2 linked regions of the Arabidopsis thaliana genome follow. The protein of the gene in region 2 interacts with the protein of the main gene of each other region in a pairwise test. Each region holds a gene or a part of one and is shown on either strand. Other genes may lie near its edges.

The links. The genes of interacting proteins can lie anywhere in the genome.
Region 1: the proteins of AT3G58730 (region 2) and AT2G44360 interact in a two-hybrid assay, tested with the Arabidopsis thaliana proteins (one large-scale study listed by BioGRID).

The regions. Positions count from the first base shown.
Region 1 is NC_003071.7:18,320,107-18,323,465, forward strand, and holds AT2G44360 (ecotropic viral integration site protein), read right to left. Parts: upstream 1,591-3,359; 5' UTR 1,479-1,590; coding exon 1,419-1,478; intron 1,181-1,418; coding exon 1,073-1,180; intron 989-1,072; coding exon 749-988; 3' UTR 626-748; downstream 1-625. Other genes in the region: ATCS (Citrate synthase family protein), read left to right, coding at 20-93, 171-222, 320-418; AT2G44370 (Cysteine/Histidine-rich C1 domain family protein), read right to left, coding at 1,996-2,748.
Region 2 is NC_003074.8:21,717,621-21,721,885, forward strand, and holds AT3G58730 (vacuolar ATP synthase subunit D (VATD) / V-ATPase D subunit / vacuolar proton pump D subunit (VATPD)), read right to left. Parts: upstream 2,434-4,265; 5' UTR 2,184-2,433; intron 1,670-2,183; 5' UTR 1,661-1,669; coding exon 875-1,660; 3' UTR 568-874; downstream 1-567. Other genes in the region: AT3G58720 (RING/U-box superfamily protein), read right to left, coding at 10-77, 157-288; CSY1 (citrate synthase 1), read right to left, coding at 3,446-3,505, 3,760-3,871, 3,985-4,082, 4,183-4,265. UniProt on the Arabidopsis thaliana protein: Subunit of the peripheral V1 complex of vacuolar ATPase. V-ATPase is responsible for acidifying a variety of intracellular compartments in eukaryotic cells, thus providing most of the energy required for transport processes in the vacuolar system.

The sequences.
Region 1 (3,359 bases), on a different chromosome or scaffold from region 2:
CGATGATGGCTTGTTACAGGTGAAGAACCCGTGGCCAAATGTTGATGCTCACAGTGGGGTCTTGCTGAACCACTATGGTCTAACCGAAGCAAGGTAAGAAGTAGACACCTCCTTCAAGTATCATTGAGCCTTAGGATAGCACTCAAATATAATATCTGTGCGTTTTATAGGTACTACACCGTGCTCTTTGGTGTTTCAAGGAGTCTTGGCATCTGCTCTCAGGTAACATATATATATTTACACATTACGCCTTTGTTACTACATAACATTTAAAACAGAACTCATATGCTCTCCATTCTCATTTGTGTTTAATTCACAGCTTATATGGGACCGAGCTCTTGGACTTGCACTTGAGAGGCCAAAGAGTGTTACCATGGACTGGCTTGAAGCCCATTGTAAGAAAGCTTCATCTGCTTAAGTCACCACCGAGTCCTGAGTTGTCGCACTCTCTCGTGTTTCAACAAAAGTCATTCTCTTCCACACTGGATAGCTTTTTTTGTTTTTACCTTCTATTGACAGAAGAAACATTTGTTCATGTAGAAATTGTTCCTGAGAAACACATGCTTGGTGCAAATTTGCATTTCCGGGAAACTCGTGATAATAAATAAACAGTTGTATTCAGTTTGCGTAAAAATCAAACATCAATATCACTCATGAATTAAAGCTTATCTTGGTTTTGATATACATAAAAGAAACAAGACTGCAAAATAGAAAACTTCGACATGAGTTTATCAAAAAGAAAATGGGATTAAGAGCTGCTGGTATTGTCGGTAGTAGTCTCCTTGTTAGAAAGGTCATCATCATCAGCAAGAGAGGCTGTGAAGTTGAGTCTCTCTTCGGCGCCGGCAGTGATAACCGGCATCCAAACATCAGCTGTGCCGCTAAGAAGCGTCTGAACCTGTGGATCAGAAGCTATAGCTGATGATATCATCTCATCCACATCATCTAACTTTGCTGATAACTTGTCCAATTCCTTAGCTATCTCCACCTGAAAACACAAACAATCACACACAAAGCCTCAGATTTACATTACAATGTGTACCAGATATATGAGTGAACACAGGATACAGACCTCATTGAGGTGTTGAGCAGACTTTGATGGCACTTTAGTGACTTCTAAACCAAGAGCTTCAATCTTAGAACGTAGCTCAACCTCTTCTGTATTTGTCAATGATTCTACCTAAGAAACAAAAATCATCAGTAGGCAACAAAATCATCTGTATTTGTCAATGTTGTAGTAACAATTAGTGTCCATTAACAACAATATCAAAAAGCTCTTGCCCTTTTATTTTTTTGACGAATTAGACAGAAAAAGGGAAATTTGACGAATAGAAGCGGCTCGTAATTGAAACGAAAATCAAAATCAAGAGGAAACGAATTTCAACAGATCGTTAACGAATTAAAAAGAAAAGCGAAACCTGTTGAAGAAGACCCGAAAGAAGCTGAAAGAGCTGCTCGTCGGGTTTACCCTCCGCCATATCTCTCTGTGATCTCTCTTGAGTTATTTTATAATCAAAATAATCAATTTTAATTACTGCTCCTGAATTCTGAATTTCTGATGATGATGATGATTCCTTCGTGTGATCGTGTGATTTAAATCTGATACTACTAGTTTGGGTAAACAGACGACGAATCAACGAAGCGGCGCGTGTGAATCTCACGCGATAGTGTTTTTTTAATTGTTTGTTTTGTATCTCTGACGTGGTTTTTGACTTTTTGCTATTCGGCGGATCAACAATTAAATAATGATACAAATCTTTTTTTGGTTCTGTTTGGGTTTCTGAAGGTCAATGTTTATCATCGATTAGTGGTAATTTTCAACTTTATGTAATGATTAGAACAAATAAAGTCAAAAGGCTTTTTATTCAAAAGGAAAATAATTAACAAACATGAAAGCTTGCAACAACAATTCAATGAAAAAAGAACGTCCAAACAACAAAAGAGTTTCAAAGCATTAAGAATCCGAGATAACTTGATAGAAACGTAAACAAGTTTTTAGATCAACTTGAGACAAGCCTTTCTCGCTTTCTTAGCAATCTTAGCTCTTTGCATCTCCATATGTAACTCTATCTGCATCTTCTCCATCTCTCTTTGAGCTTCCAACATTGCAGCTAACTCCGATGCCGCTGAGCCCCTTCCTCCTTTATTCCCACCACTCTTTGTGTTTCCTCTTGCACTTCCTCCTCCTCTTTTTGGCTCTTCTTCTTCTGCTTCTTCTTCCTCTACCGCGCAAGAATGTAAATGCGTGCCATAATCACATTCCTTGCAATAATACGACCAGAGATTATCTGGAACAGTCTCTTGGCAAACATCACAGTTAAAGATCAAACCGTTCTGGTAAGGAGAACGGTAGAGCAATGTGAGTGGATGTGCGTGTCCTTCACGCTCCACGGACTCAGGCATGGACACACATCCAACATGAACATCGTACTGGCAGATAGAGCAGTTGTAAGTGAATCCGGATCCATACTCACCGCACGCATCACACGTGTAAGTTGACTCGTAAGGTGGGGAATACAGCAGTATCAAAGGGTGATCCGGGTGAGCCTTGTGACGAGTCTCACGTGGAAGCTCAAAACATGACTTGTGCAAGAAGTAATCGCATTCTGACTTTGTGCATTTGAAAGCTGCACCTATCAGGTCGAGGTCGCAACCAGAGCAAATGATCTCTTCTTCAACTTGGGCCTTGTGACTGCGCAATGGATGGTTGTGGCTCGGATGCCTCACCGACGGTTTTCTTGCGGCCATGATGGCTAATATCTTCTTCTTCTTTCTTCTTCTTTTTGTGTGTTTGTTATTGTTTTCGTGATTCTTATTAAGCTAAGGGATTTGAGAGTATATATTTATAGTAAAAATAGTAAGACGACTTTTGATAATGAGTCTTCTTTAGGGTGAAGTAGTGATGTGTTTTGGTTTGACTATTTTACCAAGTTGTGTAGCTTATATACTAACTATATTGGGACAAAAATGTCAGTACGCGCTTTGATGATGGTGAGATATATACAAGATTGATTCTCATTTGGAATTCAAAGTCAAGTGGTGGAATTATTCTTCATGATCCCATCCATCACGCCGTCTAGTTTTATTGTAACCTATAAATTATAAACTGATTCAATAGCTAATTGTAATTAAATAGTATTATAAACTTTTGAATTATCATATATATGAACAATAGAGTTGACATAATGAAGGATATGAGGTCAATTACGCTGGGTCTCTAGTTAATGCATAATATTGTCTTCAAGTAATCTAAAGAAACAAACTCGAAATTACGATTTTATTATGTGGAAAATGTATATAACGTCATCTATAATTAACTTCTATATTAGGGTACAGAGATTGACTTGGATAGTTGAGAA
Region 2 (4,265 bases):
TTTTAGTACACGGTTGATGAAATCGATGTTCTTGAGTAAGCGGATATGGGATCATCGATCAAGTGTCTGTTAACTATCTGAAAGAGAATATTAAAACATAAGGAGGCTAAAACATTCCTAGGTGTATATCTATGACAAGACGAAAAGTTGATTTACTGAATTACTCCTAGACCAAGCATTCCGCGAAGAGAAAGCAGGAACTCGCCAACCCGACGATCGTGTATCCGAATCATAACTATAATTGGGTTGATTTGGAACAGAGGAATAGCCATTTCTGTTGTTGTTCATAGCTGAGAAGGAATGGCTTTCTTGTTACATATTAGGGATATGATAAGTTTTTGTATTAATGCAGTTTATATTCCTTTTCTTGCTTTGAGTTATTCTTTCTCCACTTATATGATTCTCTAAAAGCTGATAAATTAAGCAACGAATCTGTCCTAGTATGTGATGCCATGCCTTGTCTCCTGAACAAGTATCATACGCTTCACGAATGCTTTGTCACTTTATTGATCTAACTTGAAATGGATTCACAAAATTCCTTCCCTTCTCATTCTGCTATGCTTAACCCGGCCACCAATAATTATATCCAAAAGTAACTTTACTCGAGAAAGCACAAGAAAGATTCTACATTTGTTTGGTCTTGAAACAGGGGAATTATAATTACTCAAAACAGTAATAATCACAAATCTCTCGAAAAATTTTATATCAAAGCACAATCCAAGATGATACAGTATTTCATCTACATCAAATCCATTTTATTTGAAGAAACATAAGTCTGATGAAGAGAGTAATAACAGCGCGAAGGCGAAAATAGAAACCGAGCAAACACAGAAGGCACAAAGAGAGAGAGAGAGAGAGAGAGAGAGCCCACACCTCAGAAAATAATGTCTGAATCCTTCTCAGCACCACCAACAAGGAAGTTACGAGCAGCGTTTATCGAAATCCCTCTCTGCATAGAGATGTCTTCAAGAACCATTTCCTCAGCAAACTCCTTAGCATTAGCTGCCTGTCGTTCGACTTCCCTCCTCTTGTATCCCTGAATCTTCTTCAACCTGAAGAAATCCTCTCTCTCAAGCTCATCAAGCTCTCCCTTGATGTAACTGATTGTATTCTCCAGCTTTGGTTTCACCACATTCTCCAGAGCGTTGACCCTACGGTTAGTCGTCTTGATTGCTTCATCAAGGGTCAAGAAAGAAGTCTGGAGAGAAGCAAGCTCAACTAGAACTTCAATGGCTTTCACATAAGCAACACGGCAAGCTCGGACCTGTTGACCACCTCTAGCTAAACCGGTCAAGTCATTCTTGGTCTCACCTTCAGAGAAGTGATCAAACTTAGGCAGCTTCACTCCAGCGATATTCTCTGTCCGAGAACGAACCTTCAAAGTAGCTTCTTTAACGTTCTCGAGGACAACATGTTTGACATTGTCACCAGCAACATACTTTACTTCGGTAAGAGCAAAAGACGATGTCTTCATCATATCTCCCATAGACTCCTTAGCTGTAACGATTTTCTTGAGAAGTGCCCTAAACTGAACAGTTAAAGCATCACTCTTTTTCTTGAGGAGAGCATGACCTCTTGTAGCGCCAACAAGACGAGCTTTCATAACCCCGAGCATAGTAACAGTGGGAACCACATTCAAACGCGCGTTTTGGCCAGCCATATTTCAAAACTACAGCAAATGAAAGAGATGGGATTAAACAAGGACACAAACAGACTTACTCTATTGACAGAAGCCAACAACAGAAGATGATTTTTCGATGATGCGAAACAATACTTGCATCATTGAGGAAAGAGATCAACATGGAAATCTCGTAAATTCTGGTTTACTAATTATAATTGAACAAACACGCAAAGATTCTTAAGTTTCACTAGGAAAATCTTAGGCTAATGAACCAAGCACCCAATCATTATCTCGAACGATCCATACAGAGATTCATCAGATTATCCATTTTTTGTTCCCAGATTGAATCAAAGTCTACGAATTTTCTAATTGAATCAAAGTCTACGACTTTAGGATAGATCGTTTCCCAGAAGATGAAATCTAGATCACAGAACACACCTAATCAATTGGACTCAGAATTGAGCAGTCAGGTTATATGGATACACGCCTAAATTTCCCACCAGATTCAATTGTTTCAAACCAAACTAAGAGAAGAAAAGAGTGAGATTTGGGATTGACATACCTGGGCCTCTCAAAAGGTGAATTCTTAACAAGTAAATCACTGAAATTAGATTGGAAGAAGCCAAAGAGAGAAAGAGAGATAGGAAGACAATGAAAATTGATATTAATTCAGAACTGTCGACAGGGGTAAGAAGATCGTATTCGACCTCGTCGCTGTGATCGTGGAGAAGAAAGAAATGGGCTAATTGTGTAATTAACCGTAAATATAAAGGGCTTATTTTTTACAAATAAAATAAATACGTATACAGCTCATCACGTATGGTGGGGCCTACTTTCGTGTCCTAAATCTGAGACCCATCACTTTCGTCTTTAGACGCGGTGAACTATATATCTCACGTTCTTATTTAGTGCTTAGGACAAAAACAAAACTCGGCCAAATACATTTTTTCATTTCCAAGTTTCAGGGATGAAATCTTGTTGTATAGAGTTTCCAAATGGTTGAGGAGAAAATAATCTCTCATTCAACACTATATTGTATGACATTTTTTTAAAAGGATATGATTTGGTGGTTAACTAATTATTCCGAATCAATGTGTGATATATAAAAAATCTTAGAACTAAAGCAATGTGTTATATTAACTAAAGAAGAATAAGAAGATCTTCTTTTAGAACTTTCCTCACAAAAGGCACAATATCTATCAAAAGTTATGTCTTAATTTCCTATACCAACTTAATTATTAGATGGAATTGATTATAGAACCACTATACTTAAGATATGTTTTAAATCATAAATTTTAAAATAACAGACAAACAAATGAAAAACAAATTCAATAGTATGTAGATTATTGAGTGTTTTAACTATAAGGAGAAAGAAAACAACACACATTGTTGAGAAGACCCTTTTGGTTTTCGTCATTATTGCTGCATATATGTTCAATTACCAATCTCATCTTGATTTGTTGTCTACTATCTTCTTACTGTTTCGGTTATATTTAATTTAGATTTGAACTGTTTTTATCACTTTATGATTATTGTTCAACATCATATTCTTAAAAACATGCTATAATACACAAATATTTTTATTTTATTTTGACAACTTATACATACATAGACACACACACATGTATTACTAACTCGAGGTCGGATGGGGTTTACCCAAACTATATTTTATATAAGCATATATATTCTTTATATATATTTGTATATTCGCTTGGCTTTCCGAGTCAAATTTCATATTAGTAGTATAGGAACGAGACTTGACCCAGCTAACGCCTTCTTGATGCATTCGAAATGGAAACTTGACCCAACTGATCCAAATCCGAATCACAGCTTGGTTCTTTCTCTCACTGTCTCGTAATGCCTTATCCCCGCTCCAGTATAGACCTGTGCCAAAAAAAACTTTTGATCTATTCAAAAACTGCATATATCCATTAAAAATTGTATTACTCATGAGCCAAAAAAAGAAGAAGGTTCAAGTCATTAATATATCCAAGAGTGTATGTATCTATGCATAATGTATAATCTCATGAGCAAAAAAGAAAACTTAATTACTCATTGATCTATCAAAAAGTGTCTTTATTAGCCATGAGCCAATGTTATCTAAACAAAGTCACTTATATATTAAAGGTGTATTTTACCTGTTGGGGTCTCATGATCTTTGTGTCAGGATCATCTAAAGACTCACGCCAGTGTGACAAGTATCCAGCGATACGTGATACTGCGGTGAATGATGATGGGATTCCCATTGCCCTGTGTTTTGGCCCATTTCAGTTACCAACAAAAAAGATTCAAATAAAGAAAGAACTCAATGGTTACAACAACTCATTAGTCAGAATTTGTTAGATAACTAATCAATGTCTTACCTATTGATTAATCCAGAGTAGAAATCAACATTTGGGTACAGCTTTCTCTTAACAAAATATTCATCAGAAAGTGCCGCCTTCTCTAGAGCATCTCCTACCTGAAAACATTATTTATACACCAAATATTTTCTTAAACCAAATTCATCATACATATGAAGGATTCAACAAGGAAACGTGAGCAACAAGAATACAGAGTACCTCAACCAGAGGATCCCTTCCAAGAATGGAGAACACTTCATCCGCCAGTTTCTTAACGACTTTTCCTCTGGGATCGTAGTTTT